Schizosaccharomyces pombe: one gene and its partner. The protein of the gene in region 2 interacts with the protein of the main gene of each other region in a biochemical or structural test. Each region holds a gene or a part of one and is shown on either strand. Other genes may lie near its edges.

Region 1 (6,271 bases), on a different chromosome or scaffold from region 2:
CTGTTGTATCTGAGAACAATCGTCGACTTTCAATTTTCGACACGCGTAGTTCAGAATTCTCTGAAAAGGAAGAATTTTCCTCTGTTTTTGATGATTATGGACCAATAAATGACTTGGATTGGACTTCTACTCCCAATTCCCATTCTATCTTGGCTGTTGGCTTTCTACATGATGTTATTCTTTTGTGCCAAAATCGCCGATCTTATATGAACGATATTCCATGTTGGTCTCGTATTCGTAGATACAATCTTTTAGAATATACAAATTCATTAATATCTGACTCTTCTTGGTTGGATAATGGGACTTTAGTTACTGCCATTGGTAACGGACTTTTTTATTTTGATAATTCACTTCCCGAAGATCAGTCTTTACTGTTCCCTGCATCATTGAAACGTTCCGCAAAAAATATTTTTGATCTTGCATACCAGCTTAATGGAATTTTACCAGTTTTTCATCCTCAATTGTTGCAGCAGCTTTTACTTAGAAACCAACCCTTTCTATTTACTAATATTTTGCTAAGGTTTTACTTGTGTTTGAAAGATGATGTAGATATGCATTTTCTCTTAAATATGGACTGCAGTGAGTTTTACTGCTGTGACGAAGAAATTTCTAAAGACCTTTTAATAAAAAGTCTCAGCCAAAATTCTGCGGAAATTCTAAATCCTGCGGAATTGGATTTTGAAGAGACCAGTGTCTCAAAGCATTTAGGATTATACATTGATGAAATGATAAAGAAGTTGACTGCATTATTAAAAGTAAAGAAAGTCAAAACCCTCACTCGATCATCTCAGTTTTTACTTCTTAATTTAATCGAGGCATTCAATAAGGCAAGAGCATTGCGAGATTCATTGGACCTCAACGGAAAAAGATATTGCATTATGCTAAACCAGTACGTTTTATCAAAACATCAACGTCAATTAACAAGCTTGCCCACCCGAGAGATGGCGTGGGCTTTTCATAGCTCTAACAAAGCTGTTCTGTTGGACCACACTAAAAAGCTTCATGGAAAACCATTGTTATGGAATGCTGTTGAAGAATATGCGATACCGTTTTGGCTAAATGAGCAGCTACTGAAAGATGTATTTTTAGAGCTGTCTCGCAATCATTACGCTGAGATTGACGATAGGAACCCAGAGAATGTTAGTTTATATCACATTGCTCTACACAAAATAAATGTATTTCGTGATCTTTGGCGTCTTGCTAGTTGGCATAAGGAATCAGCTCGAACGGTTAAGTTGCTTTCGAATGACTTTTCAAAAAAGAAGTGGAAAGTGGTTGCATCCAAGAATGCTTTTGCACTTTTAAGCAAGCACAGATATTTTTATGCTTCTGCATTTTTTCTTTTGGCAGATAGTTGCTATGATGCCGCAAAAGTATGTATCCGTAATTTAAAAAGCATTTCATTAGCCATCGCAATGACTCGAGTCTATGAAGGCGACGATGGTCCGACCTTAAAGAGGCTAATAAACGAGTATGTACTTCCTTTGGCTGTATCTCAAAACGATAGATGGCTCACCAATTGGAGTTTCACTATTTTAAAACAGGAAAAAAAGGCCTTGCAAAGTTTGGTATCTCCCATTCGCTCGCTGGTCAGCGATAATGACTTTATACAACTTTATACATCCGATAAAAACGACCAAGAAATTCACGAAAATAAAGATTCACAACGAAATAGTACTAACGAACCCGTACGAAATAAGTTTCCGTCTGATGATCCTGCCTTCATTTTGTTATATGAATGTTTAAGATCCAGCAACGTGCAAATTGATGAAAGTCTTGAATATCGATTTGTTTTGCATAATGCTAATGTGTATTGCCAATTAGGATGTGACCTAATAGCACTTGGGCTTTTGCGTAATTGGAAATTCCAAAAAAATCCTGCAACTGCTCATCTTGAAACTGAGGATTATATGGTAACTGACAAGCAGTCTGCAGTGGAAAAAACTCACGACTCCCCCAAACTTGGAAAAACTCTTATGGGACAAGATATCCGGCCAACACCGGACGATGTCCCCGAATTTAATGAATCTGCGTTCAGCTTCGAGTAATTAATTAATTATCGATACGAGTTTTTAAAAATACTACAAAAAATCAAATACGGTCAACCCTTAGTTTATCGTGTTTCAATAATGATATTAAAAATTAATTTACTATTAAATAGCATATAAGAATACAGATGAAGTTCCTCAGCGTTTCATTTACACAATTGCGCAGGACGTAAAGAGAGAATTAAAAATTTCTATACATTTCGAAAATAAAAACGTCCGCGGTATAACTCGAAAAAAGAAAACAAAAATATAAATAGATAGTGCAGCTCACGGAAACAAAAAATTAGACTTGCATATCGTTTGTTACATTCCACAACACTCAAGGTTAAATTTTGTTTCGAAAGGCAAAGTAAATGAGGGAAGGATTACAATGGGATAGACGACCAAAAGATTCCAAATCACACCATCAGATGGCAACCACAATTTGGTAAAGTTGCTTATGAGCGTTCACCGCGAAGACGACGAGCCAATTGCATATCCTTGGGTTGAATAGTTACACGCTTTCCGTGAATAGCACACAAGTTAGTGTCTTCAAATAGAGAGACAAGATAGGCCTCAACAGCTTCTTGGAGAGCACCAATGGCAGAAGACTGGAAACGCAAGTCAGTCTTGAAATCTTGGGCGATTTCACGGACCAAGCGTTGGAAAGGTAGCTTACGAATCAAAAGTTCAGTAGACTTTTGATAACGACGAATTTCACGAAGAGCGACTGTACCGGGACGATAACGATGAGGCTTCTTAACACCACCAGTAGCGGGAGCAGCCTTACGGGCAGCCTTAGAGGCAAGTTGCTTACGAGGAGCCTTACCACCAGTTGATTTACGTGCAGTTTGCTTAGTACGAGCCATTATTTTCTAGTGTTCTGATAATTGCCCTGTGTAGATAAAAACAAATTATAGGGAGATTACGCTGTATAAATATGTCCCTACATCCAACTTTGATCACAACCCTAACCCTTTAATTAAATTGACGTAAGTTAATAGGGACGGCGCATTAATATATATTGTGAAATGCCGCATACCCTACTAGCAATAGAAGCACTGTTTATAGTAGTAACTCTATTTCGTTAATATTAATAGTGCAATATGTCTGGCCGTGGTAAAGGTGGAAAAGGTTTAGGAAAGGGTGGTGCCAAGCGTCACCGTAAGATCCTTCGTGACAATATTCAAGGTATTACTAAGCCTGCCATTCGTCGTCTTGCTCGTCGTGGTGGTGTTAAGCGTATTTCCGCTTTAGTTTACGAAGAGACTCGTGCTGTCCTCAAGCTCTTCTTGGAAAATGTTATTCGTGATGCTGTCACCTATACTGAGCATGCCAAGCGTAAGACTGTTACATCTTTGGATGTTGTCTACTCTTTGAAGCGTCAAGGCCGTACCATTTATGGTTTCGGTGGTTAAATTCGATATCAATTGCCGACTCCGAATTTTTTGTTTCGAGTCTATCAATTTTATGTGTACACTATAACTATTCTATATATACATGCCAAACGAGAATGTTTTTCATCTGGGCGATATCAGAAGAAGCATTATCAATTTGCTAGTGCAATTCATAGACAAAAAGGCGTTTGGTCTTTGTGAGAAATTTTTCATATCGCGTTGTATCACGGCTGAATACTCCATCTGACAAGAAGATGAATTTTTCTTCGTGGATTTGTGATTAATACATTTATTGAATGAAATGATTAATATAATGTTCATTAAACCCGAATCGTATCGTGATATTTATAAGTAGTACAAATATAGTAAACGCGCAAGTTTTTCTTTAGGTAATTGTTTGTGCGACCTTAAGCAAATTAACCTAGTTGATGCGTTACACTGTTCTTCGTGTCATCTTTCTGGGTATGGGGAAAGTGTGTCTAGTGAATGGGGTTAAAGAAGGTTATCTAAGCGACTAGTTGATAGCAAACAGTTGCATAGCCAGGAAGATTGTGAATTGTACGGTACATCGTAGTTGTGAGGTAATACGCAACTTTCTAATTGAGAGATATCAAATTGAATCAGCTCGATCGCATACTTAGATACTTATTAAGTGTTGTAATTTCGTCAAATAAAACTTTTAACAATGTAAAAAAGTACGTACTTTCTTCCGCTCCTTGCTTAATACCACAATAAATGAATTTACCTAATCTGTATCTAACAACCACATAGTCAACGGGACTAACAAATTCCAGTAAAGTGTTAAGGATAAAAAGCTTTCAGCAATGAGAGCGTACGACTCTTTCTCTAATCTGACATGTTTTCTTTTGTGTTTATAAAGCATTCGTTTTGTATTGACAAATTTTTCAATTACCTTGGGTAGGTGAATTATTTTTGGGCATATGACATCAGAACGCGTTGAACAATTAAGTTCACTTTGACAAAAATACAGATTTTTTATCACTACACGTCGTTTACTTTATATTTTACTTCATCTTATTACAAGGTTACTCTGTAATTGTAACGTTTGACGAAGCCCATAATCCAATCCTCTTTTTCGTTGCAGAGGAAAATAAGGAAGAGTAAGTACGTAAAGCCTACGAAAAGAAAGAGAAATATAAAAAAGTATACGTTTGTCAGTGCAATATTGAATGGTAAGTTTATTAATTGTTCCACTCATCGACTAAATAATAAAGTAGAAAGACGAGACATTTATGTGTATGCTAGAACACACTGGAATCCATTTGTTCACGAGTTGTTCTCGTAATAACATAATGATTGGTATTGCCGTGTGTGAATGCCAGTGATTATTGATGTTTGAAAGACTACAACTGATAAAAAGATAGTTGCACTAGTGATAAAAGTCTGTTGAAATTGGTATGCTCTAAAAGTCATTTGTACTTGAGTAAGCAGTCATATGCGTGTTGGCTATCCATCTGTTTGACTTGTTTGAAAATAATACACATGGGTTATGCTTTTCACAAGAAAGTAGAATAATTGATTCCTACATCTGCATCATCCATATCGATCGGTAAAGTATACTTTATCCTACGAATTGGTTTCATAGTTAAATCACTCCTCTGCTTAGCAGCTCCGCATCCCCTTCGTGTACTAGCCAATCTCATCGACATCGACAAATTGACTTCACCTGAGTTAAGCATACTTAATTCAACTTAACGAAGTGCAACCCACCACGACTGACCTCTGTAATCTCGGAAAACGGATAAGACGGTTCAGTACGTTCGCTAGTAAGAAGCATGCATGCAAAGGTACAAGAGCAGGCTTCCCATGCAAACTGAGAAAATAATCCCTGAAGAATTGCTAGTAAGCCAAATTGCAGCGCCTCCAAACATCCTTCTATTAAGGACCAGAAAGAATGATGCTGATGACTAATTTTTGGGTTATGCAAGAAGCATCTGGCATTTTCTTTAACTTCTCCACGAATAAGGAGAAGGTCACACGACGGAAGCGTGGAATAATGATGAGTTTGATCGTCGGTAAACTCCCCCAGAGTAGCGAAGATCATCGGCATCGAAAGAAAGAAGGGAAGGAAAAAAAAAAGTAAAAACGACTTGATGAATTCCGTGATCATGTAGGGTAACGGAAGACGAGATTACCGAGTTTAAGTAAGCAATCGAGGTCTGCATTGCGATGCCGATATGGTGATCGGGAACATGAAGCACTTGATTGACTTGAACATGTAGGGAGGAAATTTTTTTAGCGTTTTTAGACTTTTCATTTAGCTGCTATCTTAGGAGTAGCGTGACACGGCGCAAACGAAAAACAAGACATTTGTTGTACCAAACATCCTCAATTCCATCGCATCTCTAAAGTACGAGTAACTAGAGTAAGATGCAAATCAACGTCGTGATATGACCTAAAAGTATCGTGGACTTGATTCATCCTTCAATCTCATCTTTCCCCGACTCCGCCTCTTCATTTTGACCTCATTCTATGATTGCTTTTGGAATGAAGCTTGCAGCGTATTCCTTCATTAGTGCGTTATGACTAACCGCGATATATAAGGTGATTTAAGTACTGGAAGCTCGCTTTCCATATGAGAGGACAGCGTAGAGCGCAAGTCGCAGATTGAAGGAATGTAATTGGGGTTCGCTTACACATTACGCGCTTTTATTTGAAAAGAACGAATCAGCAGCACTGCCAGCGCATTCTGACATTTCCATGCTACTTCATTGGCGGCCTCTGATTGGCTCAATCAATGTAAAACGACGTCAATTGCTAACCAATGTTGTTTGACAAGGGTGGTTTTTTCAATCAGACGCTTGACGTCATTCTTTATATATACAT
Region 2 (9,185 bases):
TTCCGTTCCGTGGAAGAAAGAGAACGCGATACATTATCTGAACTTTCAGCCGTATTGGAAGAGTTGAATACAGTTGATGCGTTATTGATATTTTTTCTCAATGCCTGAATGCGCCAATGTTCGGGTCCAGCCCAGTTCTTTTTCATTGACTTGTCAAAATATTCGTATACTCCATTCGCAGCGGCAGTAGAAATAATAGAATAATTTTCATTCATAGTACTTCCATCAGCCATATTGACTTCAGTATCCACACCAAAATCTGGATTTTCGGATTCGTCCATTGCTTTTGGTACTACATCAACATATGGGTTCTCCTCATCGTAAGCCATTTCCTCCAAAGCATGCACAATATGTCCTTCTTCACCATCGGAATCGGAAGAAAGGGAAGCTGCATCAGCATCAGTTTTCTCCATCGTATTATCCACTAAGGAGGTTGTCGTTATCATGTTAACTTCATCACTTAATGATTTTAAGAGAGAGACATCAAGATTCCCTTTACTATCAAATTCAAAGCCCTGTAAGGAGGGACATATTGTCAACTGATCAATATCGGTAAAATAGCATTTGTAAATACCATTCAAGGTCTCCCTAGAAATATTGTCATGCACATTAGTCATTTCTGTGTCATGGCTTTCGATAGGCGCTGCGACTACCGCTTCCTGCGATTCAGCTTCAACATCTTTATTTTCCAAATCCTTGATGACAGTATCGCTAGAATCGAATACAATTCGTCCATGTTGATCAACACAAAGATGATTCATTAATAAGCCTTTAGCACCATCCTCATCAAAATCTGCACACATTTTCTTGAATAAAGGATCAAAAGAACATTCTAACTCAAATTTTTTAGCGCGTATTGACTCGAAATCTTTAACGAGAGTCTTTACCGAACGTTGTGCACGCTTTCTCTCTTTCTTTTTCTGTAGATCCTCATCATCATTTTCAGCATCTTCGCCTTCTTCCGTTTGCTGCAATACTTTGGAATCGTTTGCCAATCCACTGAGTAGCTTGCCGGTCTCAGTAGCAACAGAATCAATACGCGAAGTATAAATTTTCACGCATCCGTCTAATGTACAGCTTGCCTTTTGGAAATTTATATCTTCACCATCACGTAGAAGCGACATGTCGTGAAAATAGTCAATAAGCGCAAAATTCCAGGTATTTGTGGAATTAATTTTGTTGTCAGTAGCTAATTTAATCCATTCCTCAAAATTAGAAAGAACAGGAACCTGATGAGAGCTATTAAATGGTGAAGAATTGTTTAGAGATTCTCTTCTTGGCGTTATTGAGTGCAGAGCTGAACTTCTTCGCAACTCGCGCTGCTTACGGCTGTTCTCTTTAGCTCTTTTTTTTTCTAATGCATCGTCATTTAAGGAGGGTAAGCTAACGGGCGCATGCCCGCCTAAACTAGCTCTTTTCATTGATTTAAGTAAATGTTTATGTTCACAAGTGGTAAGTCGGTGTGCCTATACGTATATCGCGCTTTAACGATATGCCGTATATTTCTTTCTAATCAACAAATGATAAAGATTCAAATAAGTTTCTAAATAAATGCCAATATGATAACATTATTTTTCTTTTGAAATTTGTTTTCAAATAATATAGTATTTCCCAATTTACTTCATTGATGGCTTCCCGATTACAAAGTCAAAAGTCTTTTGTTTATTATTCTGTTACAAATTTTGTGAAGTTTCAATTATTATAAATCTTCCATATAAAATTAACAAGGTAATACCAAATCAAGTTTGGATCCTAAAATTCAGTAGCTATCAAGTTTTAAGAGAATTTTATTTTTCGTTTTCGTTTATTTAAACTTGAACTTCGTAGTATTGTGGAGCAAATGGATATATCTAAGACAGTATATCTCTTAACATTTTACTTCTAAATCACTCCTGAATGCAATCCACTGAATGGTATGCGCATTTATCCTGACTCTCAAAATATTCAACCAATATCAAATGCAGACGATGTAAGACAGAAAATTGATTCTATTCTATATTAAAAAATAAAAAGCATTAGTGTACCATCAGATATAATGCGTGCTTTTTAAACGAACTATTATAATTGTACAGCTGCCCATATATTCATGTACCATCAATTCTCCAAGAGCATCATTGTCTAGTTTAAATAGCCACGACATGTTGGAGCACCACACAAACAAGGAATCTTATCAGCTTCTTCCGGAAACTTGTAATCATAAGTAAGTTCCTCTCCATGCATAATATCCCTGTCAGCATAAATTACGATTTTTCTTTTCCCTTCAACTCTAATAATCCTAGCTATACAATTAGGAGCGCATGAATGATTGATGAAACGCGCGATATTTCCCTTTTTTGTAGCATCAACGATAACATCCTCGTCAATACGGAACAAATAACTGTCTCCAATACCTTCACGAACGTAGTTCTTTTCACGATTATCAGCCACCCGTTGTCGAATGATTTCTCCAATATACTCTATGACCATATCATTTTTATCAATGTTTTCCATGGCAAAAAGCCCTAATGTATGAATGCGACTAGGGCCAAAATGTAATTGCTTTTTACGAGCCTTTAGTGCATTGAATCTGAGCAAGTCAGCTTCGGCTGGCAATTGAGACTTTTCAACTCCAGCAGCCAATCTTCTATTGTTAACACGATTCATTCGTGATGTGATACGGCTTGTAGAATGACTAATAGTATCGATGGTTGATCGATTACGAAGTGGTAGATATAGTGATTTTTCGGTAGTTGGAATAATATAGTATCCCTCACTTTTAGCAGAACCGCTAGTATTAGAGCGAAAATAACCTTTAGGTTCTGGAAGAATAGCCGTATCTCCATACTTAACATCCCCATTCTTAAATTTACATGACTTGCGTTCATAAGCCCAGAAATTGGGATCGTTGATATCCATGAGGGGTTCATCCTTGAGTGCCTCTTGAAGATATGAGTAATCTTCGTCATTTTTTACCAAGTACTGTAGACCATCCAAGTCAAGAAGTACATCGTCTTCTGGATAATTGTAAGGAAGTGCACCATAATAAACGCTTCCAGTTTCATCAAACTCATTAATACGCCATTTGGGAGCTAAAGCTAAAACTTCATCAATCTCTTTCTTAGGCGATATGAGTTCATCTTTTATGGCGCTACCTGATTTTGGAATCGCAGCACTAGGAGAAAGTATTGATGCATCTGATTCGGTTTCGCTGGACGAAGTATAGTCAACTTCCATCTTTTCATATTTTTTCTTTGATATTTTAGATTTTGTACGAAAACGATGGAATTTGTCATTTTCATCAGATGTATCAGAAAAAACTGGAGTCGCCTCGTCAGACTTCACAGACTTTATTGAGCCAATCTTCCCTCTTTCTACACGCTCGTCTCCAGAAGATAACAAAAGTTCTTGATCAGACTCGGCTTCAGAAGCGCTTGAGTTATACATTTGATTAAGCTGGTAGTGTAAAGGTCGAGCTTCGTGCCTTCTTCTACGTCTTCTTTGAAGTTTCGACTTCGTTTTACTACCCGCTGAAAGATTCATTTTACTGGAATCAACTCGTTTTTTAAATTTGGGAAGACTGGGGAGCTTTCCGACTGTTGATTCAATTTTTAAAGGAACATCAGGAACACTTGTAGATGAAACCAATAAATTTTCTTGTAGTTCTTCCTTAACAGAAGGCTTAGGCATTGAATGAAGATATTTGAAGATTGCCGGTCCAATTATTTTACTTTTTACATCACGTAACAAAGCAGCCTCAAGATCTCTAAGCACAACTGAGGTTGCTTCAGCGTACGCTTCCTCGGGAGGTAAAACAACTCTTCGTACTGCGCTCTTTTTTCCATCTTCCTTTGTACGTGAAGGAATGTCATGAAATTTCAATTTTATGCGACAATTTTGTACGTATGTACGATCCAGCGCACGGTAACAATTGCTCGCTTCGCGATAATTATTAAAAGTTATATAAAACCCGTCTTTGTTCATGTATATCTTTTCATACAAAAATTTTCGAAAATGATGCTTTATATCAGTATAATACACACGATCTGGAGGGACAAAGCGATCGTCAATTAGTAAATAAATATAATCATTAATATTTTTTGGAACATCAGTCTCGCTTGACGTAAGAAAACCTGATTTCTGGTCCACGTTCTGAACTTTAGAATGTTGCAAGTCTCCATTGCTCAATGTTTGTGAATTTTTCGATGGTTGACGCCAAGGAGGAATATCTTCATTCATAGCTGCAGATAACTTTTGCCGCGAAGATTCATCTTCCCGCTCGAATCTCTGTTTCTGTAAAGTTTCTTCTTGAAATTGCTTTTCAACAGCATTTAAAGCTTTCTTGAACGCTTCTTCGCATAATGAACCATCCCGATCAAGGACTACTGAAAGAGGCTTACCGGAAAACCTCAAGCCATTTGCTTGTTGTACAGCAATTTTCGCTGAATGTGCTGCTACAGAAATGGAACTACGCTTGTCAAAAGATATACAGCACAACCCTAAAGAAGTACCTGTATAAGGGTTTAACTTTAAGTCTAAATCGAAAACTTCCCCAAATGATTTAAAATGATATCGGAGCTGTTCAGAAGTCACGAGCGGTGAGATGTTAGAAACAAAAACCTGAGTTGGAGGTTCTGGACCTAATGAATTCTCATTGTAGTCATAATTTATAGTTTGCAAAGATTTTAAAAATGGCCTTCCACTTTTAGGAATACCGCGGGCATATATTGGATTTTTAAGTCTAGGGTCGCGAACTACTAAAGGTGGTTTTGAAACACCATTAAACCGATATATAATTTTGCGACCAAGGTTCTCCTTGATTCCTAATTCTGGATCGTATAAAACTTTGTAATTATTCCTTTGAACGGGTTGAGATTTCGACCGCGTAGAGGTATTAAAATCCATGGCTGATTAATATTGAATCCAAGTAGCAAATCCCAGGCATTCGATCAAAACAAAAAAGAGCTATAAAGTAAAAAAAAAAAAAAATCAAGAGATATTAAAAACCTGTGCACTAAATCAAAATCAAAAATTTGGTAACAACTCGATAAGTGTAATTTATTCCAATAATGAGCCTTGACAAATTATGAAAAAAAAAACGTTATGTAAAAAGAAATAATATCGCCGGGATGAAGAGCTTTCTATTGTAAAGTATTTGAACCGTAATTCAGCTTATAATTGGAAAAGTATGTCGCGCGACGTTACTTTGTAAATTATAACAATATTCAAAAACTCAAGTAAAACTTGATCAGTCTTCAAATAAATACGTTCATAAGGCTAATAACAAGTAAAAAAGCTCTGTCAAACATCCGTTTGGCCAAACACAAAGTTTATAGGATCTCTGTGGATGTTTGTGTAAGGTAGGCCAATTCATATTACGCGCCACAGTAGCTCTTATAGCGAAATTTAGTAAAATCGTTATCCAAAGATACCGTTGCATATTACACTACCAATGTTGCTGAAGAGAAGCAAGAATAAATGGCTTGAGAAAGGAAAACTTGTAGATGAATGTTTTAGAACAAAGACATAATTATAAACTACATGAGGAATATTAGGAATCATAATAGAAAATACTAACATGAAAAGATTGTTGGTACATGATAGAAAACCGATTCGCACACAACGATGAATGAGACGAGAAGGTACAAAAGGATAATCGAATACAGAAAAACCAAATAAGTGCCCAGATGCGAAGTAGGAAAACATTTAGCAAAACAAGTTTAACCCGGTTGTTTTGGATAATGAAGTCTAAGGCTAAAAAGAGAACGTAAAGCACAAACAACCAACTCCTAGAGAATAAATTAAAATAGTAGACGACCAGCGTTACCAACAATCGTAGAAGCGGAGAAAAGTATCATAGGAATCCATAAACGAAACTGAATTTCAGGGAATTCAACTCCATTTAACTCACTAAATTTGTTAGCTGATAAACGAATGTTTGAAAATACTGGAGCAGCCTTTGGTAGGCAGTTGATGGATAACAACTAACATACATTTTTGAGGTATCAACCAAATTATAATATAAGATACTCCCCAACACAGAAGTAATTGTCGACAAAATAATACCGTTTCTTGAGCGATCAAATATATACCAAATGCTAGCAGAACTCGCAACGAGTGCAACAATGGAGTGTGAATTCGAAATAAATAGTAATTTCTAGAGATAAGTTAGCAAGAGTATATTCACGATGCATAGTAAGCATTGGCAAAGAGGGTTTACTATCAAACTTAAATTCTCAGAAAACAGCACAACTTATTTATGGTGATGAATAAACTATATCAAGAAGTCGTTACGCATAGATAATTGCTGTAACTCCATACATCTTGCATATATATTTCACTTTTTTATTTAAAGGAACGCCTCGTATAATGTAAAACTTACCTTCATAGAAAGTAGCAATGTAGCGAAAGCAGCAAGATACCGAGAAATCCATTGCCATTTAGACGATTGTGAAGGGCGTAAAGGGGCAGCTCCCAAAGGATACTTCGTATCCATACGTCGATAAGAGAGTCCAAGTATGACAGCAACGAAGCCAAAAATTGCAGGCCATGGGGGCTCAAATTTCCAACTTTTGAGATTGACCGTCAGAAGTGGTAGCTTTGCATCTTGCACAATTTGTTCAGCCAAATAAGTAAACACAAACCCTAATCCAAATATAACACAAAGCTTACAAAAAAAAGTTATTAAAGATGAATAGTCTATAAATGTTATCCCTTTCTTTCTCTGTTTCTTTAAATCATCATCGATCTGTCTAGACGCGTAATCTTCATAACTACTCAGGGATTCATCATCTTCTGCCTGCTCTTCATCTAATTTAAGTGGAGCAAAAAGCCCTGATAGTGTCGATTTCATATTGTCCAAAGAAAGTACCGACAAGGACTTCTTGACCGCTCGATTTCCATTATAACCATCTGGGTAGCGCGGACGGGGTTCGTAAATCTCTTTTCTGCTCATTTTATTCAAGCTTACGGCACCTTTCTGTAGAGATCCTTGTGAAACTGACTAAATGGATGGAGAAGAATCAATCTTTACGTTTAGGTACTTGGCAGAATCGAGACATTGCACAAAACACGCATAGCCCAGTGACAAGTAACAATTTTGAGTAACAAAGATCTCAAGTAAGAGAGATCTGAAATGAATAAATATTTACAATCACTTTTATATGTGAATTTGACCTTTCTAAATTATAGAAATATACTCAAAACTTTTCTGCATCCATATTACTCTTATTGTTAAGGTATATTGTGCTTTGATCACTTGAAGATGCATGCCATAAGTAATGACAATGTTAACTAATAACGAAAATATCCAAGGAAAAAACTCTCGCAAACACTCATTCTACGAAACAATCAGCCACGAAGAAATTGCTTTAAATAATTAAGGAAATTTCATAATTGAGTCTGTATGCCTAAAGTGGTTTCTCTAGTTTATTCAAAGTATAGCAAATTCATCTACTATTTTTAAAACCGCAAAACAAAAATATTAATTGAATAGAATACAAAAAGCAAAACAAAGTTATGCTGACTACATGATGCCAACAACTTTCACCTTCCGTAGAGAATCATCATAAAGAAAAAACAATATTATGGTTATAAAGTTTGTCTCATCACAAGAAATAAATTCTTCAGTCCAAAAAACTATTTAATAGACTTCAATATATTAAAAAACAAAGATCATTCTAACCATTTGGACACCTAAGGAATTGCGCTGAAAGGTAAAAATGTCACCAAACTATACTTATCAAGAACCATTTATGACAATAATTTTCTTCTAAATTAAGTGTGAGATGTATCAATTATGAAAGAAAGAAATAAATTGAAACTTCTTCAGCTTATTCACCTTAAGAAGAGGTTTATAACTGTTTGCGTCGAGGACTATCAAAAGCGTGATAGCTGATTTGAATAGAGGAAAGTAAACGGCAAGAAATAAACAAAGTTGGAACCAATACAGCCAATGCCAAATAACCCATGTACAAACCAGGAGTAAAAAATTGATATTCGGTAAACAGTCCCGTCGCACCATTGTCGGTGACAGGGTGCTTCCTTGTTTGGTGCATAGCAAGCGTGGTTTGTGATCCCTCATTTTGATCAGGTAAAGAAGCCAATTGGCCGTGTTGAAGAGCACTCTTCCCTGAGTTGAGACCACCTAGCGTTTGAATTACAAATTCAGCATTGGCCTCTTCTTCGTTAGCATCAACCTTAAATCCTTCAAAATCTGAGTTATTCAAAGGAGAAGAGGCTATAATTACATTCCACTGAGCATCTTGTTCCAAGGTAGATTGTAAGTTGTAGAACATTTCATCCAATTCCATTAATTGTGCACTTCTATGATAACTTTCATTTGACAGTTCATTCATGTAAACAACAGTTATGCGATCATTTTGAAGAGGAGGAAAAGCATTAAAGGATCCACCCAAGTAAACTACCTCAACGTCGCAGTTTTGCTTTGCCGAATGCACCAACTCTTGTGAGTCCAAAGACTCCTTGGAATAAGGAAGAAGTAAGCTATAGGGTGATTGCAAAGAAACACGCTTTAAATGTTTAAAAGCTCCCAACTGAAAATCATTAACCTCAAGGCCTGGTTGATGTATAATTAAGGTAGCTGTATTGCATGTCGAAAGTGCCTCAATTGCGGCGTCAAAAAACATCATAGGGCAAGTGGATATTGAAGAATCATCGGATGATTTGGGGAGTTTGCTGTTTTTAGTTAGATTAAATAATTTACACAGTATAATGCCATCGATGGATGCAGGACATACGAGTTCGTAGAAAATAAGAAAATCGGCGAAGTATCTTTAAATGCTGATACTAAAGAAAAGCAAACTATAAATAAAATACTCCAAGAAAACATTTTGACACTAAATTTTCTTTACTTTGGACAAGTTTGGATGTTGTCAATTGCTTGAGCGTTGGAGTGGTAGAGAATAGCTCTATATACTACTTTCAGTATCTAAAGGTACTAAAATCCTTCTGAATGAACAAGCTACATATAAGCAGATAGATTATGTAAATATAACATGTTATTTACGAGAAAAAAATAATACTACAAAACACAAGACGGTGTAGATTTTGTTCCAAAATCATGACAATAGTCCATGACACTTGTTATACACAAAAACCCTTATTTATTACTCAGTCCAAAATACCCGTTTATAAAAGACGTGCCCTTGTAAATCCCTTTTGCTTTCAGCCACTCAAAGCTTTTTCAC

What was found.
Region 1: of the proteins of set1 (region 2) and hht3, one has a biochemical effect on the other in vitro, tested with the Schizosaccharomyces pombe proteins (one study listed by BioGRID).

The regions. Positions count from the first base shown.
Region 1 is NC_003423.3:3,526,634-3,532,904, forward strand, and holds hht3 (histone H3 h3.3), read right to left. Parts: upstream 2,933-6,271; 5' UTR 2,897-2,932; coding exon 2,486-2,896; 3' UTR 2,167-2,485; downstream 1-2,166. Other genes in the region: RAVE complex subunit Rav1, read left to right, coding at 1-2,048; hhf3 (histone H4 h4.3), read left to right, coding at 3,134-3,445; SPOM_SPBC1105.13C (uncharacterized protein), read right to left, coding at 5,127-5,555. UniProt on the Schizosaccharomyces pombe protein: Core component of nucleosome. Nucleosomes wrap and compact DNA into chromatin, limiting DNA accessibility to the cellular machineries which require DNA as a template.
Region 2 is NC_003421.2:410,647-419,831, forward strand, and holds set1 (histone H3-K4 methyltransferase Set1), read right to left. Parts: upstream 5,302-9,185; 5' UTR 4,882-5,301; coding exon 2,119-4,881; 3' UTR 1,647-2,118; downstream 1-1,646. Other genes in the region: condensin complex non-SMC subunit Cnd2, read right to left, coding at 1-1,421; ins1 (INSIG domain protein), read right to left, coding at 5,778-5,886, 5,970-6,133, 6,359-6,931; family protein BIG1, read right to left, coding at 7,830-8,673, 8,736-8,827. UniProt on the Schizosaccharomyces pombe protein: Catalytic component of the COMPASS (Set1C) complex that specifically mono-, di- and trimethylates histone H3 to form H3K4me1/2/3. Binds RNA which might negatively affect its histone methyltransferase activity.